2 linked regions of the Bombyx mori genome follow. The protein of the gene in region 1 interacts with the protein of each later gene in a pairwise test. Links are inferred from orthologs where the notes say so. Each region holds a gene or a part of one and is shown on either strand. Other genes may lie near its edges.

Region 1 (15,971 bases):
ATTACGTAGGTTTTTTCTTACCTAATCTTTGGTAGCCTTGGGGGTATTCCAGCTACAGCGGACTGGTAGGTGATCGTAGGGGTTCAATCTGAAAGAATTGTTAAGATTAACCTTAGCAAGAGCAGTGCCACGCTGAATCGCTATTCACTGAGAAAATCCGGCGAGATATTCAGTGGGTTGTGTCTATGGGCCAGTGCCTATGTCGAGCTCTTAATCGTAATCGAAGAGTTCAACGCGGAAGGTGACCGCTGCTTGAAGAGCCTAAAAGTACAAGTCAACGACCTTACATGACGAAGTACCACCAAATGTGTACCTTTAGGCAAATGGGGATTTAGTCTTGTCTCGAAGTGGACAGCGGTATTCACGTTGCGATGTAATTGGGCTCAGCCACTTAAAATCAGGTGAGCCTTGAGCTCGTCTGTCCCTCCACTATATAATAAAAATAAACGAGTTCAATATATTTTCTCAACGTAACTTAAATGAAATAGTCTTAATGAAAAAAAATGTACAAAATGTATGTAATTCGCATGTTTCTTTAAAACAAAAATACATCTCTTTTTTTTCATTTACACATAGATTTAAAAACATGTACAGCACGTTTTCATGATCAAATGTAATTTTAAGTCTTGCAATATGAAAAATCTTTTTTTTTAACTGAATGTTTTTCGATTTTTCTCTTGGCTGTCTGAAGGAGCGGCCGGTGCGAGGATCGGTGAGTTTAAAAATACAAAAAAAAATGGCCGCTTTTGTGTATGTCTGAATGTTCACGTGTAGTCGAACACACGCTATGGTGCTTTATGGGTGCATTGTTATTGCACTTAAGTTGTGTAAGAACACGCTTTTTCTAAATGTTATTTTGCTTATGTGACGTTGCCATGAAGAACTAGCATGCAGTCTCTATGGAGGGCATAAATGCGTTCCCTGATGTGTTTCCGGAGTTTATTATTTGAAAATTCTTACTTTAAATAAGTTTTAAAGGACATTTTAATTGATGTTTTGAAATAAATTAATTTTGTACAAATGTAGTTAACAGATATTCCTTTATGTCAATGATCGAAAACGCTGGAAATACATAATAAAAAATAAAATCCTGTTTAAACATTATGGTCATGACCCTCAGCAGTGAGGAAGCGAGGAAGGAGACGTTCCTCATGTTCTCAAACGTTCCGTATTATTAAAGTATGAAGTTTATTGTTCCTCTGCGACTTTTTTCATTTCGCACATTTCGCAAATTGTCCTTTGAATCTTATTCTTTTAGCTCATAACTTTTCCACGTCGTCGTAATGTGCTATAGTATGAGATAAGATAAATCGACATTCATATTTACCGTGTTAAAGTTACGTAAAATAAGAAAAAAAACAAACAAAAATACTTTTTTTTTGTTTTCTTCAATTTTATGTTTGTTTTGTAGGAATGTATGTGCTAGCCATATCTGTTATCGGACATGGTGTAACAAGAAAAAACGATACCGATGATTTTGGTTCGATACAGTTTATTGTCTGTATTAAATTCACGTAGATTCGAGAATACACAGACGGGTTTTTGTATCTGTTATTTTTATAAAGTTTATATTATTTCACGCGTATTGCGTTTTTTGTTTGACTGAATTCAATAGTGGTCAAATTGATTTAGTAATTATTTATAAGATTAAAAAAGTGTATTATAATTTATAGTCTTAGTTATTCATAGCGCAAGGTTACTTTTTTTGTCCTTAAAATGTATGGTAAATGGATTTTATGCTGTTTTTACAAACCAAGAGAGGCATCCCTATTGTTGTTTATACATGTATAGAAAAATCGTGTATAGATTAGCTTTTTATGGTCTTATTATTGTTTTGGGGGTGCGCTTACGTAGAAATAACATTAAAACGAATAGGTATTATTAGGCAGCGGCTTGGCACTGCCCCTGGCATTGCTGACGTCCATGAGCGACGGTAACCACTCACCATCAGGTGGGCCGTATGCCTATACGGCAATAAAAAAATAAAAAAAAATGACATACAGGTGTGTAATAAGACATTATTGACGAAACGCCATTAAAATTACCTTGTTTTGTGTAGATCAATATTGACGTCTCAAAATTGCACCCTGAATCTAATTTAAGGCTTTTGAGATTTTGGACTTTATGATGAAGTCATTAAAGTGCATTAAGCGCTCGTCAATTTGTTGGCCTAAGAAATTGTAATTGAAGCATTGTCGATTTTACACTGTCGTCAATGAGCAGTGGTGTTGGATCGTTGTCCAATTATTTGACTTTAAACCTTAGTCGTTTGATTAATGTTAGCGGCTGCCATAGCGAACTTGATAATGCGAAAAATAGAGTAGACCCGATTTTTAAGACAAGAAAAAAATTCTATCGTTTCAAAAAAACTACTTAAGTTTTATATATTTGTTCCACTATTGATATCAGTCTTTAGCACTGTACTTTGGAAATACCATACACAGAGAGATATGCATAGAAGAATTACGAAATTCAGTAATGAATGATCAAATTAGAATAAACAAATTAGATATAAAGTATGTTGACCTCATTTTTTTGTTTGTTAATAGATCAAAATCACTGACTGTGTAATTAGTATATTTCAGTAGTTTCACACGCACTGCACAGAGCCTATGTACACAACTGCTTCTAGTACTTATTTGTTTTTTTAGAAGTTTTCGCTTTAACTAGAATATTAAAATTTTAAATGTGACAGTCGAATTCGAGTCGATAATGTATGGTCCCTAAAACAAACATAATAAGGTTTATTACACTACATTAAAAACTGTGGTACATTCGCATTTTAATAACGACAGTACTTAAGGCTTCGTCAAACAGAACGCGTAATTAGCGCGCGTCAGAGCGCTACGCCATGACGCCGAGATGTGTTGTACTACTACTGTAACATACCGTCAAACAGAGCGCCAGCGCTATAGCGCTCGTAGCGCTGGCGCTCTGTTTGACGGTATGTTACCATAGTGGTACAACAAATCTCGGCGTCATAGCGCGGCGTTAGTTTAGCGCTCTGACGCACGCTAAGTACGCGTTCTGTTTGACGAAGGCTTTATGTCGGATAGAAAATATAATCTATACTTTTATTGTAAATATGAAAATGAGTTTAGTTATGTTTTAACATCTTAATTACTCAATCGATCATCATGAAATTTCACGTACATGCTGTAAAGAAGCGAATATAGTTTCTTTCGTCCAGAAAAATAACTATAAAATAATTATATTTTTTCCAATATCACTACCTAATGAAGCCACGTTAAATATCTAGTAAATTATAATTTAAAAGAAACTGACTGGCTGAATATAAAAATGCTAGACACTTTTATTGTCTTTCGATCGTATTGAGTTCCAGTCCCAACGCAATACCAATATCCCATGTAACCAGAAACTTCGATGACATACCTGAAGATGACGTCATCAATCTAGTGTCAATCACTCGCAACTTTTTATCAACCACAAAACGCGTATCACCCTCATCAAATAGTTCAATTTTTTTCCCTTTAATAAACTTATCGTTATTACAATGCGAGTATCGTGTACCCGGGGCGGGTTTTTTTTTCCAAACCCAACAATACGGAAAAACCACGCTGTTATTCGCTTTAGAAGCTCCCAAAATAGAATGATTCGTAAACGAGAGACTATATTTAAAAAATGTTTGTTTATTATTCCTTTTTATGATTACATGTCCAGGATATGACATGTCTCCGTTCATCCGGCGCTACGCTAAATACCTCAATGAGAAGGCGCTTTCATACAGGACTGTCGCCTTTGACTTCTGCAAGGTCAAAAGGGGGTAAGTGGGATTGAAGTTGTTAATTTTAATTAACATGGCATTCGATGGACTTGGGCGGAGGGAATTAGTTTTGGATAATATTGAAGGCAGATCATTAATCTGAGATTTATGCGTTGTCCATGGACATCAACGATCTCCGAAAAAAAAGTTGGCGACAGCGTTGTCCATGGACATCAACGATCTCCGAAAAAAAAGTTGGCGACAGCTGAATATTATAAACTTTGTTCGATCTAAGTGATAAAGTAAGAGTTGATTTTTAGTCGAAAAAACTTAATACAGAAAAGTTCTCATATGAAAAAAAGGCTTTGTAATTAATGGCTTTGACTGATGACGGTCTATTTTTTTCTATGAACAAATATTTTAAGTTTATATAAAACAGACGAGAGATTATACAGGGGTACATACGTAGTCATAATTGGTTTGCTCCTATTTACTCGAGAAATTTCCGGGTACTTTGCTTAATTTCGATATACTCTCTTTTTTTTCATTTTTTTTATTGCTTAGGTTGGTGGACGAGCTCACGGCCCACCTGATGTTACGTGGCTACCGGAGCCCATAGACATCTACAACGTGAATGCTGCCACCCACCTTGAGATATGAGTTCTAAGGTTTCCGTATAGTTACAACGGTTGCCCCGCCCTTCAAACCGAAACGCATTACTGCTTCACGGCAGAAATAGGCGGGGTGGTGGTGGTGGTACCTACCCGCGCAAACTCACAAGAGGTCCCTACCACCAATAATAAACCTCTCTTCTTTTTTCAGCAAGGAGGAAGGCTCGCTCCGCATGATGAACGCGGAGAAACTCCTAAAGACCCTGCCGGTCCTCCAGGCTCAGTTGGACGCACTTCTAGAGTTCGACTGCACCGCCAACGATCTCACCAATGGAGTCATCAATATGTGCTTCATGCTGCTCTTCAGAGATCTCATTAGGTATGCTTTGAATTTAAATATGTTTGGGACTGAGAAAAGGTTAAGTTTCAGGATTCACTCCTAGTAGCTCGTTGATGCACTATTCAATTTTCTCACTGGCGAGAGTTATATGTGCTGATTAGATGAGTCGTTGTAACTATACTGAGACCTTAGACTTATATCTCAAGGTGTGTGGCGCGTTTGCGATGTAGATGTCTATGGGATCCAGTAATCACTTAACACCAGGTGGGCTGTGAGCTCGTCCACCCATAAAAAAAATCGTCTTTTTGTTTAACGGTCAAATAAATCCAACACTATTTTCGGTGAAGATTTTTTAATAGTATAGGTATATCTTTTTTTTCATTTTCAGGTTATTCGCGTGCTACAATGACGGCATCATAAACCTACTAGAGAAGTACTTCGACATGAACAAGAAGAATTGTCGCGAAGCTCTCGATCTCTATAAAAAGTTCCTGATCCGAATGGATAGAGTTGGGGAGTTCTTGAAGGCAAGATACAATTTTTTACTTGTTGAGAATCGATTTTAAATATGATTTGTTTCTGTAACCTGTTTTCTGTAGTTCACAGATACAAAACAGTTAATAAACCACCGTTATTACACATTTAAACCTCAAGAAACACTAAATTGACAAAATAAACTAAATCACATAACTTCACTCCTCGCGTTTCCGTAAAAAAGTTCTCATGAGCTTATTTTAGATAGAATATAGATAGATTAGATATCTATACTTCTATATCTATACTCTATACTAATATATAAATCTACTGTGGTTTTTACGGATGTTCCGTTATAACTATTGAACCGTGCATCCGATTGACTTGAAACTTGGTATCCATGTAGAAAATACATGTACTTAATGGATAGGCTAATATTTATATGACTGTTGGACTGCCTAATAATAATGACAATAAATAATGATGTTAATTTGAAATGCCCAGCGAAGCAGCCGAGTACTGCTAGTAGAATATATACATAGAATATCGTCAGTGTAATAAGTGAAACATGGTTATGGCACAGGTAGCGGAGAACGTGGGCATCGACAAGGGCGACATCCCTGACCTCACCAAGGCGCCCAGTAGCCTTCTGGACGCGCTGGAGGGCCACCTCGCCACGCTCGAGGGCAAGAAGGGCTCCGCCGCCAACACTCCCACTCAAACAGCCAGGTCTGCACTAACCACTCCCGACACAATTCACTACTATTTAACACAAAATAAGCATGCACGAACCGGCGATATCAGTTCTGCTGTGCACACAAGAAATTTTACTGCAATGTGTGACGTCACTTGTGGCCAAATTTTTCGATATTATAGAACAGTTACCCGAGTAAATTAACACACAGACACAGCCCACTGAGTTTCTCGGAGGATCCGTAATGACGTGTTTTGGGCGACGTCGATTGTTTACCATTCGGTATACAGAATCGGGTATGCAGTTTCCAGCGGCCACGACAAGAGGATTCTCATGTCGTTTGATGATAGAATCATAATAGTGTACAAACTTATAATTTCAATTAATTGTAGTGGAATTTCGACTACTAAGGGACTACTAGTAAGACTAAAGTCTATAAGATCGTTGATTGTAAATCCGCAGTGCCCAGAAGAACGTGGCCAGCGTCATGGGAGCCCTGTCGTCCACGTCGTCCTCGTTCGGCAACGCGGCCGCCTCCACGCGCCTCGACTACCCGCCCGCCGCCGCCGCGCTGCTCATCGACGACTCGCTGCGACAGCAGGCCCTCGCCGAGGAGGAGGCCGCCATGAACCAGTACAAGGTCAGCCCCCGCCCTCCCCAACGCCCCGCCCCACCCCCCGCCGCAACCAACTAACGTCACTGCGTTCCAGGTGCACTTGTTGCAAGGAGACGAGCTGACCGGAAACGAAGACTTGACGGAAATAATCGTAAGACCACAATAGAGAATGGGTTTGTGGGCTCGGTTGTGGAGATGTGTAATGTAAGCAGAGCATACGTTTAAGTCATATCTGACAGTCTTAAATAAATAAATAAACACATTTTAATAACAATTGTCGTACTAGGTAGTAAAGATGATTGATACTTATATTTTATCCGTATGGCCACGATATTGGACTAAAATAATTCTATTATCAATGATCCTTGATGCGTGGATAAAAATTAAAATTATATGGTCTTGAAGTCCGTGAAACTTACCTTGAGTGATTCTGATACATAAATTATTACAAATCTAGGTAATGTAAATAAAAAGCTGGTAAAAAAACTACCTTAATCAATAATAATTGAAAACCTTACATCAAACCACTGCTTTTGAAAAATGTTATTGATTGATTATATTTAAAATCACGATAGCGTATAATCTATGGCTAGCGCATCATACGTTTTGACCCCAAATGACGTCACATGCAAATGAAGTCGCGTGAGCTTTGAGCCATTTTAAAAATAGTTTAAATAAAAAATAAATGGCATTTAGTTCCGTGTTGTGATCATTTGTAACATTTATCGGGTGTGTTAATTCATATAAGAAGTTATTGGGAAAATATATCTACAAATGATTTCAAATAAAAAGAAGTTCAACAATTTTTTCTATCTTTTACTATTATTACCTTACCTAATAAGTGTATGGCTCCAATAAAGAATAAAAAATATATATTATTACCTACATTCTAGGTGATTAAACATAAATTTTGTGTTTCTGCTTATATTACATACTCAATTGTTCGTACTCCATGTCGCTTAGGGAATATTTATGTATGAATATGTGGGAAGCGGCTTTGTATGCTGTGTGTACACTAAACTTGTTCAATGTCCTATAAATTATATTTATCATATTGAGGGATTGTTATAAAGATTGGGCGTATTTCAATTGTGGTGTAATATAATTTATGTTTTGATATCATCAAATAAGAAGGGTATTGACAACTAACATATTTTTGTGTATGCGAGGAAACATGATAACATTATTGAAGTTTAATTGGGGTCAGTAAAACAGATTTAGTATTGCAGTATCTAAAGCAGTCCGTGGCTGCAAAAGCTGTGTAGTGTATGTTTTGAACGTCAGAACTTTAATGAACATTATTTCAAAGCTTTAAGTAACAGTTTTTTTTGTCAACTGTACTTTATATCGCCAAGCTTCGCTTCGCATCGCATTCCCTTCTTGTTTGAAACGAGTGTCGTGCACGTCTCACCACCCTCCGAACAACCACACATAACATAACGCGATCGCAAATCATCCAACATTCAACAGTGTTGCGAGTTTTTAAACGTTCTCGATAACGTAAAAGTTAACTCGAATTTGTATGCAATTGGAACAGCGCCCTTAGCGGCAAACTTTGCAACCCCATACAAATTGTGGTTAACGTTTACGCTATCGAGAACGTTAAAAAACTCGCATTAAGCGCGCAGGTATAGAAACTACAGGTTAGTTTACTGTTGATTGCAGAACAAGGTACAGTCGCCGACGAACGCGGCCAACAACCCGTTCCTAGGCGCGGGGGCTCCGCCCGGCGGCCAGCACGCCATCGTGGACCTGTTCGGGCCCGCGCCCCCCGCCGGCGCCGCCGCCCCGCCAGCCAAGGCCTCCGACGACCTGCTCTCCCTCGGCAACCCCTTCGCCGACATGTTCGGGGGTGAGTCTCTACATTAGTCGTTACACGTGATGACGGTTAGTTGGTGATGGTCACGTATGTATGTATATTTTGTTTATAGTTAAAAGGTATATTAGAAATAAAACAAATTCATTTAGTTGGATAAAAAAAAAGTTTTGCAATAAAAGTCTATACGGTGGAAAATCTTTCAATGTCACGTTTGGATAATACAATGGCTGAAAAAAAAATTTTTACTTATTACTTCAAATAAATGTAGTTTTAAATGAAATTAGTGGGAACATTTTTAAAAATACATTTTATTGGAATAACATTGAAATTTTTTTAATAAACATATCAACTTTTAAATACACTTCTAAATTGTTAACAAATTGGTAACATTAAGTATAATTTGCAAACTAATAACAACTATATGATCTAATAATGTGTACATAATAATAATAGCACACTGTACAGAACTACACACATTGGACCAGTTGTGGCCTCGGGACGATGTCTGTTTCACGTTTTAAATACCAATGCAGTACAAAAAGTGTAATCTGAATAATTATATTAATTATACCACATAACACTATGGAATACCAGGTGTAAAATTTAGATTTATTAACAATTTACTACGTTCGGGAAATTAACACAATAATGTAGCTTTCAATATGTATAAAATTAGTACTGCATTGCTATTGTATGGCAACACTTTTAGCCCCGTCAGCTCCGGCGCAGGGCTCCGCCCCGATGTGGGCGGCGGCGCCGCAGCCCGCGCCCCCCACCAACGGGTTCGCGGCCTTCGCCCCCGCGCCTGCGACACAACAAAACAACACGTTCGTTTCAGAGGCTAACTTCTCTAACGTATTCAATAACACTGACAGCACAGGTGAGCTGCACTCCACGTAGTCTTGAAGCGGGTCGCCGTGAGGTTTACCTCGCCTGCCCACCTACTATCTACCTAAATGAGGGGGACATTTTAATAAAAAATAGTAATTAATGTAAATATGATTTTTTGGAAAAATCATTAAATCTCACGGCGACTCCTACAGTAATTAATAATAAACTCTGATATTAATAAACTTAATCAGCTCATTTCTTTGGTGACGGGTATTCGTGTATAAATGTACAATTGTTGTATAAAAGACGTTAAAAAGCACTCACATGTGGTCAAAAAGCTGAGCGGAGCTCGCACGCACGAGGGGTAGTCGCGTTATGACGCACGTGTCGTCCGGCGTAACGTTTGTTTGATGTGTTCCGCAAGCCGCGGCGCCCAACCCGTTCATGGGCATGGGGGAGTCGTCCCCCTCGCGGCCCCCGCTGCCCCCCCAGCCCGCGCAGCCGCCCAAGTCCGCCTTCGACGAGCTAGAGGACGTGCTCCGCATGTCGCTGGGCTCGCCGGCCAAGTGCCAGCCCGTCACGCAGCAGCCGACGGCGCAGCACCAGTCCGCCGACGTCATGTCGATGCCGATGATGTTCGGCTCGCCGGCCCGCCAGCCGATGGCGCCGATGAGCGGTTCGAAACGTTTACAGATTGTCGGATGTTTTCGGTTTTTTTTTTCGTTTTCGTTTCAGTGTTGCCCGTCATGCTTGCACCTCTACGTATAGTAGCAGTAATGCTAATGCACCGTTGCCGTTTTTTAGTTGTGTATAATTATCATTTTAAGTTAATTTAGCGTATTTTTTTATTTTTACATAATGAATCACATAAAACTCATTATTTCTATATTTTTTTTTGTTGATTTAACCGCGGTCATCAAATGCTCATTCCCATCGTATTGACATTGACCGCATGCTAGAGAATAAATCATGAATCATAGAAGCTCTAATGCCGAATATTAATTTTTGAATAAGCTTAAACGACAAAAGCATCTTTGTTAGCTTATTGCCTCAATCAATTTAGTTTTGCGAACCATAAATAGAATTGAGCTACTTTCACTTTGAGAACCACTGATCTAGAATCATATCTAATTTATTACATGTAGAATTGGATTTGTTAAGAAGAAAAGAAAATTGTTTTGAGATCAACTATAAATCAACTAAAAACCTTATCAAACAGCTACATTTCAAACAGCACAAGCTGCCGTAAGAACACGAACAAACAAACACTGAGCACTGGATGCTATTGATGACCATAGATATTCTAAAGCAACAAACGATACAGGTCACCAGGCGCCGCAGCCCGGCAAGGTGCTCACGGGAGACCTGGACTCGTCCCTCGCGTCGCTCGCTAATAACCTCTCCATCAACAAGACAGCTGCGGCCCAGAAGTAAGTCGCATCCAGCTCACGCGCTGAGCCCTTCTCAGCAGGAGAATTGTTGCGTTGTGGTGAATGAGAGTGGACTGTATTTATTTGGTTGATATCATTATTAGTCCATAGGTGACAAATTAAATATATATGAATATACTAGCTGTACCCGTCCGCTTCGCTGGGCATTTGAAAATTAACATTATTATTTCTCACCACCACAAAGATTCTCATTATTAACGCCCCCGCAACTGGTGTAGGGAGTCCAACACTCATATAAATATTAGCCTATCCATTAAGTACATGTATTTTTTACATGAATACCAAGTTTCAAGTCAATCGGATGCACTGAGCGGATGCACGCTAGTAGATATCTCAAATATCCAACCCAAATTTGTGTTTCCACCAGACCGATGCAGTGGAACTCCCCGAAGAACGCGTCGAAGCCGGGACAGACCTGGAGCCCGCAGCCCATGCAGGCCACGACCGGCGCCGGCTACAGGCCGATGGTAAGCCGCCCCCCACAGCGTCCCCCTCGCGTCCCCCCGTATAGCTTTGCCTCTGTGCGTCCATTAGGTTACTTGCTTGGTAAAGGCGGCTCGAAGTCCGGGCGGGAACTAATTCATCAGCCAAGGGAATGCGAGAACTGCCGCATGTCTGCTGCGACCTTGTTGTTCAGTTGTCCAAAGGTGTTTACGCACTCGTTTTGTAAATGAATATCATTTAGCAAATGGGACCTAAAGTCGATCGTACATGGAAGCTGGGAACGCCCCCTTGTATTCAGCCGGTTCACACTACGCGAATAACGTGTCGATTGTCTACCCACAGCCTTAATGTCCCCACTGCAAGCTAAGCTAAGTAAATTTAATGTAAATTTTGGCACATGGACTTGGTCATTTATAAGACTACTTGTGTTTGTGTCCCGGAATGATTCGAATACATGGTGACGTGTCAAAACCTTACAACACTCGTCGAATCAAACATTTGTAACACGTCCGTGTAAATAATATAATATCTTTGTGCGCGTCACACAAATGCTACTAAAGATAAATAATAGTTTAAAAATACTAACAAAATACGCTTTTATTGAAAATTCAACTAAAAAATAAATTTTACTAAATTTGAATTAAAAATAGTGAAAGAAGAAATGATTTTATTGTAAAAAAGCGTGAGGTGCTTTTCAAGATATTATCAAAATAACCCTTCTACTCATATTTGTTCATAAAATATTTACAACTACTGATACCATGCACCCCACGTTTCTTTTACAATGTAATCTTTTTTTACACTATTTTTAATGCAAATTTATTAAAATTTATTTTCAATTTTTTAGATGCGTTTCAATTTTTATATTTTTTCAATTATTTTTTTAAAATATTTGTTTGAATTATCATCCTTCCTTAATAAGTATGGCAAATTTCGAGTTAATCCGACGTTTGGAAGGGGGTCAAAATCATGTTGAAAGATTCCGTTACATACTACATACATACGTCTGAAGTTAATAAAAGCGTATTAATAAAACGGTGCGCGTGCAACTTGGTGCACGTGAATGAAGTGAAACTTCTTTTTCAAATAAAAAATTTTGTAACATTGTTTCACTTCGAATAACAAACGATCGACCGGTCCCATCTTGCCAAATGATTTTCATTTCCAAACAATAATATTATCGTCTTTATCACAATTTTACTTTAGCTTAATTTTGTTCATCCATACGCCATTCACGTTTCCTTTGGCCTATGCGCTTTAGTTGTTGCATTTACAGTTAGTTGTGCTGGTCGTTTGCGTCACGTTAAATTGTACCCTAGTATAGTGTAGAGCTAAGATTGCATTGTTATTCTTATTTTTTTATTCTAACGGTCACGTGACTAATGCTACACGAATAATAATGAAAAACACAAGTACCCTCTTTTCGAAGTAAATTCTGTTTCTCAATTTTAATTTAAAGCATAATTTGATAATAAATTAGTAAGCATATGCACGTAATTCTCGTTGTAAATAGCTGAAAGGTAAACATGCTTTAGCCCCGCAAAGGGGGACATTGAAAATTTGAGAGCATGTAGGAACACGGGTCATTTTATATAAAGAATAATTTGATAATAAATTAGTATAAGCATATGTACGTAATTCTCTTTGTAAATAGTTGAAAGGTAAACATGCTTTAGCCCCGCAAAGGGGGACATTGAAAGTTTGAGAGCATCTAGGAACAGGGGTCAACAACCCGGGCCGTGACGTTAGCTAATTAGTGACGTGACCGAAGGCTCCCGTAGCATGCCGAGCATTTTGTTTTATTTGCGTTATTGCAGGGCCCCGGCATGACCTTACCGACCATGCCCCACACTTTGCCCCACACATACCACCCCCCGCATTATGTTATGGTGAGTCGCTAAACATTTTTTTTTTGTTTTGTTTCTCTTGCATTTGTTTTTTCTTGCAGCATATTTGAGGCGGTCAGCGCAAAAGTGGCCCAAGCTTACCATAGTTATTATGAAGCAATGAGGTTTAAGTTTTCATTCATTTGAATTTGAGTAGGCAAAAAAACAATACGGGAAAAAATAATGTTTACAGAGCCATTTGTTGTCTATGGGTGAAATTATGGATAGGCCGGTTTTGCATCAAAATTTATTATATCTATACATAAAAATAAAATTGGAGTGTCTGTTTGTAATATTGAAATAACCACTTTTTACTACATGCATATGAATATATACGGTACATACACCAAAATAACATTTTTTACAATTTTTGTCTGTCTGTTTGTTTCGGCTAATCTCTGGAACGGCTGGACCGACTTTGACGGGACTTTCACTGATAGGCAGCTGATGATGTAAGGAGTAACCGTACCGTCACCGTCAATAACCGTGACTTCACCCGCGGTACGACAATAACCCCGGGTAACATCGCGGAACTCAGCTAGTTTTCAATAAATTGCAATATACATATTATAAGCATGATTATGAAAAATTGTGGGTTAGACCACTTTTACACTGACGGCCTCATTTAGTCAATCAGCATGTCCCGTTGGAATTCGAAAGTGTGGTTAATGTGCTGCGGAACTTTTTTTTTTTTTCATTTTCTATTTAGCTGTATTAGCATGTTCTATTGAAAATTAAAAAAGAAAAAAACATGGTTATTTCGTTAGTTTGAAATCTGTCTGCTACCAAAGGTGTGATCTTGAGCACGAGAATTTTCTTTATTTTCGTCAAATTTACATAATTAATTAAACATTTGTAATTTGTTATTAAAAACACTAGACTGTCTGAATTGTTTGTTAGTAAATTTGTCAAAGTAAGAAGCTTCTAAACTATTAATAATAATTCATTAGAAATTATTATATATTTCGAGGGGTGAAAGGCAATTGGGTTAAAGCGCCATTTCGCTTAATACGCAACATTTATCTTTGTAATTAAAGGTCCGTTTTATTTGATATTAGCATCAACAATTCGTTTCATGTTTTTAACTAAACTTCAATTAAGCTTCTTTTTCTCCACCTTATCCCACCAGGTGGAGTCGGCACAGCGAATTTTTCTATTCCATTCTCTTCTATCAACCGTCATCTCAACACTCACTCCTCTCTCTCTCTCATATCGTCATTCACACACTCCATCCATGTCTTCTTCGGTCGACCTCTTCCCCCTCTACCTTGCAGGGGACTCTTTTTTCGACCTCTAACTTCAATTAAGCTTACCCCTTTCAAATAGCTAAAGAAGTTTCATGTTAGGATATTTTTTGAAAATTTTTAAACTTTAAATGGATCTCCTGTAAAGTTGCAAAAATGTCGTTTAAACCTTATAGCCTTTTTACCCCTCGATTTTATTATTGGACAAGTTGAATTATTATTTTTCGTATGGAACATCATTTTAACAAGAACGAATTCATATAAAATTTGTGTAGGTAACTATTGTGATATAATCAATTTATTAACGATAATCTACTACACTACAAGTCTGAGTAAAATAAATTAATTAATGTATTCTAAAAATTAATCGAAACCTGGGAATAGTTAATTTATGTAAAAACAAAAATCGATATATTTATCAAGAAACACTAGATCATACTCTGGTTTCTAAAATGGGTAGTATATATGGAAGCTTCGTGGTAGCGGCTTGCAAACAATGACAATGTCAATGGCATGAGCTTAGGTAACAGTTAGACGCCAAGTTTAAATATTTTCGCTTGCACTGGTTTAGTTTTCACAGCTTGTAGTTGCAATATTATACGCTAATACCATACACGTTGCCTTTGTTTCTTGAATATTTCTACTGAACGATTTTGTTGTTATGACGTTGGTTTTGATATTCGACTTTGTGCAGTCGTAATAAGGGACAGATTCTGTTGTTTACACCGATCGATGAATAAAGTTCTGGCTTCAGTATTTGGTTGACTTAACAACTCGCAACAGCCTGGAATTGACTATGTAGCTGTAAAACAAATTATTTTCATCTGATTAATCAGGTACATAATTCTAATAAAGGTAGGTAATTTAATTGATTGGGAATCAAAATCGCTCATTCATCATAGAAGTGATGAGTTTTTTTTTACTTTTAATAATGTCTCATAATAAAACAAAATCAATTAGGACTGTTTCACCGTATTCGTATAATTTTATATTATGTGTGTTTAATGGGCATTTCCAGCAACAACCCGGCATGGCGATGGGCATGCCCGGAGCCCCCATGATGCCCATGGCGATGGCCGCTCCCATGCGACCCGCCGTACCCCCACAGCCCACCACCAACCAGTTCAGTTAAACCGGAAACACCACCGAAAGGTTTTTATGTATCATCACCACCGACTGTTCCTGGTCCAACATAAACCACATCCAATCTTAGCAGTCTGACTTCATATAAACTTGGAACCTGTCAGAGATTGAACGAAAGGAATAGATAAATTATTTCTTAATCATCTTTTTGTTGAGTAACGGAACAGTCGGAACGTAGTAGTATTTGGAGCCATTTGTCTATGAGATTTAGTTAGGTACGTTTGTGCTAAGTACCCCGTGTTGCGCTTAAACCTGAATAGGAGATAATAATTGTTCGGTCTTTAAGGCCCCACTTTAATTATAAAGTGTCCCTAGACACTGGGCCCCGTTGTCTAATTTTAACATCGACCGTCTGAATTTAAAAAAAAATCCTTCCACTTGCTACCGTGGCGCCATCTTAATTGTCATTTTTTAATACACTGAGTTACATAATACTCCTTACTTTCATACGTTTGAAGAACGTTCTCGTAGGTATTTCAGGTCGTTTCCGTTTGACACGTCTTTTTTATAAGGGATTTTATGACCTGGTAACTAAGATCTTTAGGTCAAATACGAACTGTCAGTTGCAGCCACAGATTAATTATATCATTGATGTTGTAACTCTGTACTCTGTATAGAGTATGATGTTAAAATTAGACAATACGGTCCCTGTTTATTTTGTATAAAATAGTGTTTTTTTTTTTTAAAGTTACCA
Region 2 (15,971 bases), on another chromosome or scaffold:
CATCCCTCACGCATGTAGAGACTTTCCAATCCCTACAGTCCCGCTTTTGCAGATAAGCCGTCGGAGCTCCGTGGTTCGTGAGGAACGTTGACCTACACGACGATCTGAGCGTCGAATTGATCCGGAAACACATGAAGTCAGCGTCGGAACGGTACTTCGATAAGGCTATACGTCATGATAATCGCCTTATCGTTGCCACCGCTGTCTACTCCCCGAATCCTGATCATGCAGGAGCCAGTCACCGTTGACGCCCTAGAAACGTCCTTACGGATCTCTCAGAACCAATAACCTTTGCATTAGACGCCTTCAGCTCCAACACTAGGAGTAGGCATAGGGACCCCGGTAACCATACTCGTCGAACTCGACCTAGAGTTGCAACCGTGACGAATGAGACGTGCAACCTAACCCATGCATCAACTCGCTGAGTTTCTCGCTGGATCTTCTCAGCGGGTCGCGATTCTGATCCGGTAGTAAACTTATTCGCGAAGCAGTTGCTCTTGAGTTGTTAGGTCTCCTTCGGAGGCGCTTGGGCAGCTGTTAGCAAATCCCACCCCTCCTGGCCGAGCATTTGCTCACTCACCTATCCTGGTGAAACTGGAAAAGCTTCAGGCCAACCAGAAATCACTCATACAAAAAAAAAAAGAGTCGTTCAACTACGCCCTTTTAAGTTTAGAAAAGATTAGGACTTAGTACGTGCAAAATATGAGGATTTGGTTATTTCAAACGAAATAAAATAGGGTTTTTATTATAGATAGGTTTCTATATATTATTTTATTTATAAAAGTAGGTAGCTTTTTTGTTGGTATTTAAATGAACCAAAATGATATTATATTGAAATACATTTACCTATGATATAAAAAAATAAAATAAGCGAGTATCTTATGATATAAGGTTCGATTCCAAAACCACGGCAAAAGAGCCGACAATTTTTTTAAAGTTGAAAAGTATTTTTCACGCTGGAGACGATAGAATGCGATTTTAAAAAGATGTACTTATATTATATTATGTTAATGTCGACATAAGGGCCCGGACATCCGTGATTTTCATTTTAAAATGTACCTATTGGGTTCGAAGCAACGAGATAAAAATCCACGAATTCGCACAAAAAGGATTTTCTGAAAGAGTAGAACAAACCTGTTCTTGATGGCGAGAACCGCTTTTGTTATGTGCAGTAAAAGTCTATCACGTTTTTACGAAAAACTTTCAAAATTTCTGTCACTAAGTTGAAAAAGAGTTCAGTTATAAACAGCAAAATTCAAATAACAAACTTAATAAAACACTGCTAACGTAGTCAATGTTAAAATAAGAATGTAGCATTAGATATGTAAACAAAGTGATGTATGAGTGCAGAGTTGAAAAAAAATATAAAACAACTTTTGGCGCTATTTTATAGATTACACCAGGTACTTGCTACGGTGGCGCCACGTTTTTTTTCTTTCTTTTTTTACCGTGGGGCCATCCTAATTGCTCACTTTTCGACGGGCACCTTTTCATACACTAAGATTGTGTTCCTTACCTTATGTTTACCTACTACCTCCTTACCTTGTATTTTATTGATATTAAATGAATATCGATGATCTTTCCAGATCCCGATGATACATCGTATAAATGATCTCTGAAAACGCACTATGCTTGAACGCAGTGGTTACAGGTAGTAAGAAAGTTCTCTGCCCTTACGGATAGTTGTCGTGCAAAAAGAAGATGGAGAAACAGCTCAAAAAATTCTTCGGCAAGCGCCCGTAGAACATACTTTACAAAGTAATAGAGGCGTGGAGAAACTAGTCCTAAAATTCCAAACTGTTTTTGTACCTATATTCTATTATAACATTTTATTTTAACTGACTATATTTCTTATAGCTAATTTCATAGATTAAAAACTTTTTATATACGAAGTTTAGTGTTCAAATCAACAAACAAAATCATATACCTTATTGTATTTTTATTGATTTCGCAGCGCTTGATCGTGATTGGGCATCAATTAAATAGAAAAAAGATCTAAGAGCATTCTCTCTATATTTGTGAAAATGACATTTATAATAATCAAAACGAAAATATAACGCTTTGGCAATGATAATAAGATATTTTCCACTGTATGCAACGTTATCATACATAGTTTAGAGTAGAAATTATTTTGGTTTCGGGGCGTTCGTGGTTTTAAAACGATATTAACTGTGCAATAAAACAACGCGCAGTAATGTTTTTGAATTAGTAATTTAAACGATTTTTCAAATAACATAATTTTAATAACTGGCCATTTAAAAACATTTTGCCTGTCTCTTCCATTGATATAGGTTTAGTCGGTTTTATTTTTTTAATCGTTTCATGTAGAAGTCCATTTACACCAGCGGTCGGGGAACCGAGGTAAATTACCCCAAATGGGGTAAAATGAAATTTTGGGGGGTAAAAATGAAACTTTTGTGAGTAAAAAAAATATATAGAAGTTAAACTTCTTTAGAATCGTTAAATTTTCTTTTCAAAATTATCATGGGGGCTATAATATGAAATATACTAAAAACAAGCGATTTCGTTTTTTTTTGTTCTTCACCATGGGGTAATATCAACTTACAGAAAAATATTTAAGGGTAATAATTAAAAAAGTTCCCCGACCGCTGATTTACACCAACTGTGTGCTTAGAACATTGAATGCCCCAGAAACGAAAGCCCTGCGATAACATCTGTGACGATACGATAAATGATAACAGCAATCATAACGTACAGGTGTGTTCCATAAAATACGAATTTCATAACAACTACATTAAGTACCTAAACATTGTCTCTTTCACTTTACGTTTTACTGCTATTAATATTTTGTTGTATTAGGCCTATAAACTTATCGAACGGTCGTAGAATATAAATTTTTATTTACTCAATAATTTGAAGATTTTTAATTCTATATTTTTATGTAAACCATAATATGTTTGGATATATGAAACAAAAACAAAACGTGCAACATAGTACACGCAATAGAAGCGAAACTTCTTCGTCGATATACAGAGAAAGATAATTACTTGATGCTGTAAGGCTACAGACGCGCCCAAAGAAGTTTAACTTCTCGAAATAGAAAGTACCAAAGTTGAAGTTTATAAATTATAAAGTACAGCTAAATTTAAAAGTTTGAACGTACAGCTTAATGTTGTATTCAAAGAATAAAGAATTAGAGAGCCTTGAAGAGATTAATTATTTTCTAAAATTAATTTAATCAACAGCAAATAATTATTTATCTTCACTACAACTATGCTTCATAAGCATGAACAAATAATATATAATCAGCTATATTTCATATTGAAACATCTAAGGTATTTTTTTCTATTATATTTACAAAAAGACAAAACGTTCATTGTTTACAATCAGACTTGAATAAGAATCGAGAATTAAGAATAGAAAACGAATTCTAATATACAATAAGTATACAACAATCATTAATGACAAAAAAAAAACATTAAATATTAATTGATGTGTTTTGAACATTTTTCATTATGAATTCTAATCATGTTTTATAAGCTAGAAGTGGCAATCTAGCTTTTTAAACTAAACTATGCATTTGCCATGTTACAAAACAAGTTTACTAGGGCAGCTAGCGCATTACTATTCAGCTAACTATAGTAATAACGATAATCTAAAGGAACACATATTTAGATGTTTAATTTGAGGTAGTCATTTCAACAACTACATTCCAAAATATATGGCTTAGCTTTTTCGAGTACAACCTCAATTTGAATACATAATTATATTATGTTCTATAATACTTTCTATCTACGTAAAAATCGTTTCTTGCTATTTTCATTTGTGTCACTAAGTTCTCAAAGGGAAACCATATAAAGTACGTTATACTTACAAATACCCAAAACCCAATTTATTGATTTCGACAATTTTAATGTAAGAAGATTTTATTACCTTCAATATCTCCCTCTCTACTGCAAGCTAGAGCGCAACTAAACAACTAATAAATATCCGTGAATTTTACGGTTTCTCGTAATTATAATATCAAAGTATTTATTGTAAATATAGATCCAACGTTATTATTCTGGTTACGAGATCTATTAAAATACTTAAGGATTATGCGACGCGTCACAAGAGATATTGTAAGTTCGCAGTGAACATTCACGAGGCAATGCGCAGAGTAATTTACCTTGTAACATGTTTCTATTTAATTACATAAACATTTACAGTCGTATCGTTACTTGTACTATTAGATCTGTCCAATTAAAAGTGCCCGTATTTATTATTGTCTTATACTTTAAAAATTATTACTTCATTCACTGATTCGTATTGCTTACATTTTTAAAGAATTCGCTATTCAAAGCATCAACGACGAGAATAACGCTAGTAAAGATTATTAAGACATTTTAAATTAAAATTACAATGTACGTTACGTTTATAATTCCGATATCGATACTAAATTACTCATTAATTATTGGAAATATCTAAACTAAGCGATTTCAATAAAAGACGTAACTTTTCTTAGATTACGAGGCACAAAAATTATTAACCATCTGTAACATTAGCGTAAATTATGTCGTATTTAACAGCCGTATAATAAAAAATATAGTCAAAGCGACAATAATTTCAACTAAATTATTACAAAATCCTGTTTTCTTATATAACGTTTCATTATTTCTTTTTTAAATTATCTATTTTTCAATTTAATGCGTACTAATCGATTAGCCAACGTATTAGAAATCTATTCTATCATTGTAGACACGGCTTTAGTAGTTAGAGATTTTAAAACTTGAATCATAAGTATGTTTATTATTAACTACGTAAATTTTTTACTAAAAGCTGATATCCATAAAAGCGGAGATATATGTACTGTTAATCTTCTATTAGATATGAGAAAAGAGGCCATTACATTTTTTTTTAAAGTGAAATTCGAGAAATATGTGCTATTTTGTGGTCAACTTTTTTTTTAATTCTTTTTTTATCTCGTCGCATCGCCGCTTTGTTGTACATCAGCCATAAAAATTGGTCAATACAATAAGAATATTTATTCGAATGTACATATAGATTTGGTATTTAATTATTTTATGACAAGCGTCATTTAACAATATTTTTTTTGTATAGATGTCGTTTCAATAGAATCACGATTCAAAGTCTCAACAAATCAATAGACAAACTATGGATTTCGATACAAACTACAAATATATATTTTATCTAGTAACATTGTTATAAACTCTAATGTTTTTTTTTTTTTAGTAATTTGGAATCATAAGTAGTAAATTGTATCACCTAAGTATGTGAATGCTATTAAAAAACATTCAAATGAACTATGATAGAACGTTTAACTGTTTGGAAAATAAAAATTAATATGGAGATTTGATTTGATATGAAACAATAGTCAATTCATTTATTTTACAAGATTCTGTTGTTTCGATTTTCTATATTAATTAAGATTTAAGATAAGATATTTATTTAAAAAAATTGCAATTTATCAATAAATAGTGCCAGGTTTCTGGAAAATGTAGTTAATAATTATCAAAAGTACATGAACTGGGAGTAACATTTTATATTTTTAGTATTTCAACTATTGTTTTTTTTTACTAATTAATTTCTTTCAAAACTTAACGTTTAGGAATAATAATAATAATTAAATATATTATTTTAGAAACTGTACGGCGTATTATTTCTAAGGTTTTTAAAGGAATATACAATTTTTATTCGACGATTATTTATACTAATATTAAAAGTCGAACGAAATTTTTTGTATACTTTTGTGCATACGATTAAATTTAATTGAACACCGTTTCTCAAAAAAATACTTGAAATTATTTCCAATAAAAAAAAAGCCATTCTTTAAATTATCTTAGGTATTTTTAGCCTTAAACTTAAAGCAATGCTTTTTATTGTAAGCATGTCGTTTTTATTTTTTTCGTTTTTTTTTTCTTCTATTTCCCTTTGGAATTGAGATCAAGGTACACAACGTGTATATTCTAAAACTACGAAACTAAATTTGAATAATTAATCGCTATGAACACTAGCATCGTGTGCAAAAAAATTGTACTAAACATTACTTAAAAAAATTATTATCTACTTATATAAGAAAATAAGCGTTTCAATGTGTGAATGAATAAACGTGCTTCTTAATCCTTCGACTGTCAATATCATGAAGTCTTTTAATTCATTTATCTCAAAATGCCCCCATCCTCTAAGAAAACTACTTTTCTCTATTGCCTATTTGTGATTTATAATGTAACTTTTATTATTTTTCTACAGATCATACGAGCTACCGGTATCTAATAAAAATATTACTATTATTATGTTCGATGGGTGCACTTGATTTAATTTACAGTCTTTGTTTGCCAGCACAAGGAAGAAAGCTTGCACACAATCACAAAAATAATTATTGCATCCGTTAAAACAATTACCATTGTTAATTTTTTTGTTTGTTTTTTTGTTAGGTATATTAATAAATTTTCTTTTCACAGCACGATCTTTAGACATATTATTTGATGTATAATTGTCATTGTGTAACCACTGTATAAGACAACAGCGATAAAACATTGTATATAATTGATTATTGCGTGATTTTTCTTTACTGGACCCATGAAGCAGGTACCCACAGCGGTTCAGACTGAACTCTCCAAGCGGCCTTGAGTAGTTGAGACACCGCACTGGCCAGATCTTCATTCACCACCTCTTCATCGAACATGTATCCGTATAAGAAATTAATACGATTGGACGAACGTATTATATCTGTGAACTCTTCTTCCTGTAAATAAAGTTTTAGTATTTAATAAGTACTAGTGGTCCTCCGGTAGTCGAAATTCGACTATAATTAATTGAAATCATAAGTTGATACAATATTATGATTCTGTTGTCAAAGACCATTATAGACTTCTATAATCACAGATTTCGCCAAGACTTACACTTTCAAATATTAATAAAGACAAACAATATATTTTAATCTATTTTCAATTTGACCACAGACTCAGCAATAAGAAAAGTTTGACAATAAACAAATAGTATGCATGCGTGTGTGTCATATAGATGGTAGTGTGTGTAATGTTTTTTTAATTGATTTAATGTATTTGAAGTCATCGTGGTCTAAAAGATAAGACGTCCGGTGAATTCGCATTGAGCGATGCACCGGTGTTCGAATCACAGGCGGGTACCAATTTTTCTAATGAAATACGTACTTAACAAATGTTCACGATTGACTTCCACGGTGAAGGAATAATAACTATATATAACAGTTGTAACTATACTGAGATCTTAGAACTTATATCTCAAGGTGGGTGGCGCATTTACGTTGTAGATGTCTATGGACTCCAGTAACTAGGTGGGCTGTGAGCTCGTCCATCCATCTTAAGCAATAAAAAAAAATGTAATAAAAATCAAACCCGCAAAATTATAATGCGCGTAATTATTGGTGGTAGGACCTCTTGTGAGTCCGCACCGGTAGGTACCACCCACCCTGCCTATTTTTGCCGTGAAGCAGTAAGTCGTTTCGGTTTGAAGGGTGGAGCAGCCGTTGTAACTATACTGAGACCTTAGAACTCATATCTCGACGGTATTGCAGACGGGGACACGCAAAGAAATAAAGCATATTTTTGCATGATTGTATAATTAAAAAATTTAATCGATAGATCATATTAATATGTATGGTCTGCTGCAAAAAGGAAAAATGGAGCGTACAGGTGACAGTATGGTACCCGAGGTGTGAGAAGGATGAGGATGGTGTGAGAAGCCGAGGTCGCAAACCAAGAAGATGGGAGGATGAACTAAAAATTACCACTGGACCCCTTTGGATAAGAGTAGCAAGAGACAGAAAGCAGTGGAAAGAGTTGGAGGAAGCCTTGGCAGAGGCACACCGACACGAGACATTTTATAGTGGAAGTGTAGATTTTAATCTTATATTTTGTTTTCATATAATATATTGCTTTTTTCCGTTTTTTTTAGTCTACTTGAAATTGTTAGTTTAAAATGTAAAATGTTCGGAAAATAAAGGTATTATTATTATGATTTAAACTAAGTCGTCGACAATATCTTTGCTAACCATCAATTTACATACTATATGCTGTAGGGTATATTTTTCTTTATTTTTAGTTTGCAATTACATATAAATGTTTGAATTAGGACTATACATGCGTCTGTTATTAGCGTCACATACCGTGAATGCTCTGGATGATTCCTTATCGAATGTGGAACGCGCGTTTGCCGCAGTCCGCGTTTCGACCATCCTCTCCAAGGACGGAGGCTTAATGAACACGATGTAGGGACGCAGGCGCGGAGTTCGAAGCATCTTTAGGGCCTGCCAATGCGGACTCAACACACACACACGACCTGAAGAGAACAATTTCCAGAATAAGTTCACGAGGGTACTTCCTAATTAATTTATCGAAGTTATATTTGGACTTTTTGGCGGAAACGCGAGGAGTGTAATTGTGTGATTTGTTTTGTTTTGTCTATTTAGTGTTTCTTCAGGTTTAAATGTGTAATAACGGTGGTTTATTTAACTGTTTAATATCTCTGAAAGTGCACAAATGTGGGAAAATGAAACAAAGCCGCTGAACGTAGCTTCTCGGGATCCTCCAAAAAGTCCACTGAAAAAATCTCCGTAAATGACCACCATTTTACTGAGATTATATTTCATCCCATATCATCTCATCTGATTTCATTTATTCCATTTCATAATATAATTTTTCATAAAAATAAGAATATAAATTAAAATAAGACATGACTTAAAGGTCTTCATTACCAGATCAATATTTCCACCCATCTAAGCATTAAAAAAATCTATATCGATTTCCTTCATTCAATACGTAGCACGTGTTTTATTTTTATGTGTATGTGAATAAAAGTCATCATCATCTTCTTACTGGTGGTAGGACCTCATGTGAGACCGCACGGGTAGGTACCACACCCGTGCAGTCTCACATGAGGTGACGTTGTAGATGTCTATGGGCTCCAGTAACCACTTAACACCAGGTGGGCTGTGAGATCGTCCGCCCATATAAGCAATAAAAAAAAAATTCCAAAAAGTAAACGAGAAATAAGATTAGATTAAAAAAGCAGCTACATGTTACCAGATGTCAAAATTGGCTGGCTGACAAATCCTCGAACACATTAAAAAATCCAATGATAAATTTTGTATTAAACTAATGATTCATGCAGTGTACGTAATGTAAGACGATATATTTATATAAATAATCAGCTAACGAGCGGAAACTACAAGCTTGTGCGACGCAGGTGAATGACCGCTAGAAGCATTCGCTGTGCATTGCTGGTTAACTATACTTAAACATGAACATGCATAAATGCAAATTAATATTTATAAATTTAAACAAAAAATGCTTATTTCACAGCAAGTATATTATTAATTTATCAAGTTTTTTTTTACCAGTATTAATAATAGTCTCGACGCTTTCGGCAGCGGTCCCATAAAGATTGCCCTTGTATTCACCATGCTCTATGAATTTCCCATCGGTTATATCCTGTTCCATTTTTTCCCGAGTTACGAACACGTAATCTTTACCATTCTGTTCGCTTGATTTTATAGGACGCGACGTATCTGTAATGTTTAAAATTTATTTACAGATTAGCAAATCTCGTGAACAAAGATTTCTTTTATGAATTTATTAGCGCGCCTTAGTCTGGATACTGGTCCATAAACTAGCCGTACTCGCCCGCTTCGCTGGGTATTTAAAATTAACATTATTATTTATTGTCATTATTATTAGGGAGTCCAACACTCATATAAATATTAGCCTATTCATTAAGTACATGTATTTTCTACATGGAAACCAAGTTTCAAATCAATCGGATGCACTGTTCAATAGTTATAACGGAACATCCGTAAAAACCATTGTAGATTTATAGATTAAAGTATAGATTTCATTTAACTTTTTTCAGACATTTGCGTGGCCGAGTACCGAACATACAAATGCACGAAGGATATGATTTTTTTAGTTTATGATTTATGACATTTATGATAATAATATCAGTATAGATGTTTTTTTTAAAGTAAATTTGATAATAATATTGTTCGTACCACCACCCCGCCTATTTCTGTCGTGAAGCAGTAATGCGTTTCGGTTTGAAGGGTGGGAGCCATTGTAACTATACTGAGACCTTAGAACTTATGTCTCAAGGTGGGTGGCGCATTTACGCTGTAGCTGTCTATGGGCTCCAGTAACCACTTAACAACAGGTGGGCTGTGAGCTCGTCCACCCATCTTAAGCAATAAAAAATAAAAACTTACACGGTATCGGAGTGATGTACTTCTCCGGGTCCGTAGCGACGAGCCTCCGTCTCAGTTCGTTTCTGCCGACGCCGGGCGCTCCGATCAACACGATCGGGCGTACCAGACCCGGCCTCGGGTACAGCCGGGCGACCTCCTCGTACGTCGGTATCAATTCTCTATCGAAATCGTCGTTCTCCGTTATGTCGTATATGATCTTCTTGACTTTCGGAATCGACTTGCAGGGCAGGAGCGCTGTGGCCGTCGGCGTCGGTGAACATGGCGTTTTCGGGGCACAGTCAGAACTGGACGCAGACGGACTACAAAGGGCGGGCTTACCTAAAAACACCGCAACAACAGATCAAGCTTTTCTTGTAGACCGCAAAAAGTGAGGGTAGGATGAAATTTCAAAGAAATGCATACATTGAGGACTTTTTGGCGGGAACGCGAGGAGTGAAATTGTGTGATTTGTTTTATTTTGTCCCTTTAGTGTTTCTTCAGGTTTAAATGTGTAATAACGGTGGTTTATTAACTGTTTAGTATCTGGGAAAGTGCACAAATGTGGGAAAATAAAACAAAGCCGCTGGACATAACTTCTCGGGATCCTCCGAAAAGTCCACTGAAAAAGTCTCAGTAAATGACCACCATTTTACTGAGATTATATGTTATCCCATATCATCTCATCTAATTTCATTTAATTTCATCCCAGTTGATTAATGTCTTAAATTAACCATCTTCAGTTCATTTCATTTCACTTCATATTAGCATTTTCGTAAAAGTAATAATATAAATTAAAATAAGACATGACTTAAAGGTCTTAGTTACCAGGCCATAAAATCCCTTAAAAACGCATACATTAACAGCCTTCTGTCTTGTCTTTCTGTTCTACATCGCTAAACGATTTGAGGGGCCATCTGGTTAAGTGTTAAACGAGTTCATTGACAACACAATGTAAATGCCACCAAAACCAGGCAAACCGTAAAACCAGGTCGAGAAATGAGATCGAATTTTCGATTGTATTTATTTAGCGTCTGTTCCACCTATCAAATCGCAACGCACGACTGCTTAGAGTACTGTTAATTAAGCTAGAGGATGGAGATGAAAACACTAATTAATTACTTCCTAAAAAAATAAACGTAGTATTTATTTAAAAAAATTATGTCAGTAAAATGAGAAACTATATTTTACAGGTAGCTGCGCGTTAATGGAGAAAACAAAACTCCTCAGAAATGGCACATATTTTTTCTTTGATGAAAAATACCGTGTGTCCTTTTCCATACCCACGACAGCGTGTATGCATAGTTTATTTACGATCAGTTGAGTAGTTAAGACGTGAAAGCGTAACAAACAAACAGACCGATTTCGCATTAACAATATTATTATCGATGTCCAATGTCACACCATCTAGATCGTTTAGAACTACAACTAAATATCATAGCAATCGTGAAATACATAGCAAATAATAGCACAACATCGAAAACAGAAGGTCGAACGAGAAGAAACATTACGATAAAAACAGTACAAACCATCCATAGTCTGGGGATCGGTCTGTCTCTCGTGAATGATGCGACCTTCTTGCAGAGCCCTGGACGGTATAAGCCCCGCCCTCATAACTCTATCGCCTTCGCGTCTCGCTTGCCACCTAAACAATAAGCCACACCAAAATTCGTCATGTAAAACAATACGTTTATAAATAAATATTTCGCGTTATGAGAAAACAGATGTATTTCGCAATCGATTAAAGAACGCCGCCAGCGATTTCCGTTCAGATATAAGCTTACCAGTAGGCGTCGTCCTGTGAAACGATGTGGAGGATGTCACCCTTCTTAAAATCGAGTCCCGCTTCCTTACAGGGTATATAAGGATCTTCGGACGAATTGTAATCAAATAACGCTCGGACTCTGACTTTGCTTTCCCGCGTACCGCCTTTACCGAATGACGGTACTAATTTAAACGTGATCGTGCCTTCGGAGTTTTGCTGGAACACATATGTACATTATTCGATTTATTGCTTTTATTTATCTCTTATAATACTCGTTTATATAAAATTCATATTTGTTTGTCGTCTGTGTTGTTTTGTGTAATTTTATTGTTGGCTCTTCAAGGATAGTTTCTGGTATATGGCCCTCAACGTACTGTTACGAGGATTTATAAGAAAAACTTTTTAAAAAAAGAAGTTTATTTAATTCTAATAATTAAAACATTTGAAACTGACAATTGAAATTAATTGGGGCAAGTGTCACCGGGAGCGCGGTTATAATTGAACTGCGTGATCTATCGGCAACCTAACTAAGCTGCATTACGTTGTGCAACCTACATTGCATTTTTAGGTACATTAAGAATATACTAGAGGTCCCGCAGTAGTCTCAATTCGACTATAATTTATTGAAATTGTAAGTTTGTACACTATTATGATTGTATTTTCAGAGACTTAGTTTATACTAAGTCTTGGCGAAATTTGTGATTATAGAAGTATTATTACTTCTATAATCACAAATTTCGCCAAGACTACACTATAGAAAAATATTAATAAAGACAAACAATATTTAATCTATCCTCAATTTGAACACAGACGTCAAGAACAAAAGTTTGACAATAAATAAATAGTGCGTCAAATACATGGTAGTGTGTGTAATGTTTTATTTATTGATTTAATGTATTTTTTTGGCATAATTTAAAAAAATATTAACATTCTGCACTCCTTCTCTATGGGAAATTTCATACTCCTCCATCCGCGCAATTTTCGTAAAAAGGGGTACAAAGTTTTTCCTTCACGAATTAATATATAGATAACAGTACGACAAATGGCGCGTCAGTCACTTGCAAGTGTACTTGATATATTCTGCGACAGTCACAGCAGAGCGAGTTAATTAATTGTCATCATAATATATTGTTCGTCTCGCTGTTTATTGTGGCAAAATCTTCTTCAGCTATTTGAATGGGGTAAACTTAATTGGCGTTCAATTAAAAATATCGAATTGTCGATGCTAATACCAAATGAAACGGACCTTTAATTACAAAGATAAAAGTCACGTGTTAAGAGAAATATTGCTTAAACCAAATAGCCTTCACCTCTCATTATTAAGAATGTACTATTTGTTTAGAAGCATCTAATTTAAAACGTAATTTATCTTGAATCGATTTCGGTAGGTCCGTTTTTTGCGTTTGTCGCATCACTAGTTATACAATGTAGCCTACTGAGTTTCTCGCCGTAAATTTTCTTAGTGGGTCGCGTTTCCGAACCGATGGTAGATTCTGCGAAACACTGCTCTTGCGAGGGCCAGTGTTAGCAAAACTCCCGGTTTCAGCCCCGTGAGCTCACTCACACGTTAGGGCGAAGCTGAAATAGCCTCTCAAGGTTATCAGCACGGGTAGGACAAAATATATATATATATATACGATGCTTACTAATATAGACAAGACATCGGCCGGAGTTTTGTTTTCCACACTGATTCCGTTAACTTCGATGACCTCGTCGCCGGCGTGGATGAGTCCCGATCTATCAGCGGCACCTCCGTGCATCACTCGAGCGATAACTATCTTCCCGGTTTCTTCGTCAGTCTTGATTGTTGCGCCCTGAATTGTAATAGTTAAATTCAATTTCTTTCAAAATAACAATACGTTTCCTTGTTCTCCAGTTTCGTTTAATTAGAAGCTGTATATGAAAAAAATCGAAAACAGTTTTGTATATTTACCTACATAACGTTGTAGCTCACAGATAATACCCGTTGATTATATATTATGCTTAAATGCAAGTTTGAAGCTGCTTTCAGACTACGCTATAATATAATAGCATATAGTATATAGCTCATAGCACAATAATATCGTGCACCATACATTGTTATGGACACGTTCACACTGTACTGTAGCATATATTATTGACGCTGCTATACTATATGGCACTATAGTATCGCGTAGTCTGAAAGCAACTTTTCTTATTTTAATCTTAAATTAGGACTTATTTGAATTTAATACGCAATGAAAATATCCTTGTCACTGTAAGCTTCAGGTATTTTTAATTCATATTATTCACTTTAAAATTATTAATTAGCTATGCAATTTCTTTACGTAGATTTAGTCAATCTAAAGTACCTACTTACTACCTTTTACTTATTATGTTAACAGAGAGCGCCTAAAAGAATTATGATTAACGATTATATGTTATGCAGTGGTTGGCGTTGACAACAACAACGATTAATGGTTGATGGCGGAATAAACTAAATAATGTAAGACTTATTATAAGAAAATATGAGATGCATTTATTTCCCCCCAATAGATGCCTTAATTTTAATTTCCGCAATAATTCATGAATTGGGTATTTATTAACCAATTTAACTTATATTTTGCACGTTTTTTATATGTTTTTACTCTGTCATAGTAAATGGTTAAATGTAGAAGGAAAACAGTACGTAAGGTTAGGAATTTAATACTATTTCTTCTTAAGGCATGAAATAAAACCAAGTAATTATAATTATGATGATAGTACCGTATGATATACGTTTCGTATATATAATAGCAATATAATTAATTCAGTTTTGTGAAATACGAATTTTTTAGTCAAAACAGAAGATAAGTTTAAACAATTGTGGCGTGTACAAACTCGCGGCGAGAAATCGCAGTTTGATGAGAGTACCAATCTACAATATACGATACTCTCACCTGTAATAATAATTAAACATTGTCAGTTCACTGGTTTTTTTTTACTGTGTGCATTTGCAAGAATTCAATTTCGTTGTTTTCCTTCCAATAAACCCTTGAGAAGGGGCCAAAAAATATACACGTTTCTCCGATGATCTACCGTCTTCTCCGCTAGAGTTATAATGCATTTATTAAAATGAACAAAAAGCAACATGTATTGTGTGAAATGAATGAAAAAAAAAAACAAAGGAAATGTAGGTTAAAAAAAAATACAAATAACACAATACAGATCGCATCACATCTAGAGATAGCAGCTAATAAAGTTTCAATGAGAAGTGACGAGGAGGCAACACCAATAAAATAATATTTTGAGTGCAAAACACATAGAGAGGTCTTGAGGTAGATTTTAACTGAAAAGCATTCCAATACTTAGCATAGTTATTATTATTCTTCATAATACTCACCACAATTGGTTCTGCACTCTGTGCTCCACCCTTCCAATGAAAAATTATGTTCAATACACCATTACAGTTTCGCTTACTATAATATAAATACCTTATCTCAATCTGGGGCTAACATCATATGAAATTTATTTGTTATTTTAGTATCCATTTTTTTCTTTAGACTTAACATTACATATATAGTAATAAATACCATTGTTTTATTGAAACAAATAAGTAAAACAGTTATATTTTTATATTTACAGTTAGTGTTTGTTTATTCATTACATTCCTGCATGTTTATTTAGCTGCTATTTCTAAATGATTTCATTTTACTTTTATATTTTTAAATTTGATTTTGAATTATCAAAATTTCAAAATATTTATCTATTCCTTACCAATGGTTCATCACTTTTGACTAATTGTACAATCTTTACAGTTTCTTCTTCATCATCAGTATCAGGTGGAATATCAGGTAGATGGGGGTAATAGTCTTTCTGAGCAACTGCATCATGCGTACACAAAATTGCCTAATAAAAAGTAGTTACATTTAAAACCCTAAAGTCGATCTTATATCATAGAGATTTTTTTTTTTAATAATAAGTTTTTACAAAAAGATCAAGCCAATTCAAACAGCCTGGGTGTCAAATTGGGTAATACTCACCTGAAAATGTGGCTTCTGCAATAAACTTAGTAACTCTTCATACTCTTTTGAA

What was found.
Region 2: the proteins of phosphatidylinositol-binding clathrin assembly protein LAP (region 1) and MAGUK p55 subfamily member 7 interact in a two-hybrid assay, tested with the Caenorhabditis elegans proteins (2 studies listed by BioGRID). The link is inferred for Bombyx mori from reciprocal best matches to the Caenorhabditis elegans genes unc-11 and magu-1.

What each region holds. Positions count from the first base shown.
Region 1 is NC_085113.1:1,608,881-1,624,851, forward strand, and holds part of phosphatidylinositol-binding clathrin assembly protein LAP, read left to right. Parts: intron 1-691; coding exon of another isoform or gene 692-712; intron 713-1,411; coding exon 1,412-1,480; intron 1,481-3,681; coding exon 3,682-3,784; intron 3,785-4,546; coding exon 4,547-4,714; intron 4,715-5,063; coding exon 5,064-5,202; intron 5,203-5,732; coding exon 5,733-5,878; intron 5,879-6,305; coding exon 6,306-6,483; intron 6,484-6,553; coding exon 6,554-6,610; intron 6,611-8,124; coding exon 8,125-8,311; intron 8,312-8,987; coding exon 8,988-9,158; intron 9,159-9,533; coding exon 9,534-9,785; intron 9,786-10,433; coding exon 10,434-10,539; intron 10,540-10,927; coding exon 10,928-11,027; intron 11,028-12,821; coding exon 12,822-12,893; intron 12,894-15,152; coding exon 15,153-15,266; 3' UTR 15,267-15,971.
Region 2 is NC_085107.1:10,940,921-10,956,891, reverse strand, and holds part of MAGUK p55 subfamily member 7, read right to left. Parts: coding exon 15,920-15,971; intron 15,786-15,919; coding exon 15,654-15,785; intron 15,310-15,653; coding exon 15,280-15,309; intron 13,754-15,279; coding exon 13,586-13,753; intron 12,156-13,585; coding exon 11,959-12,155; intron 11,820-11,958; coding exon 11,704-11,819; intron 10,517-11,703; coding exon 10,199-10,516; intron 9,509-10,198; coding exon 9,338-9,508; intron 8,281-9,337; coding exon 8,108-8,280; intron 6,707-8,107; coding exon 6,530-6,706; 3' UTR 1-6,529.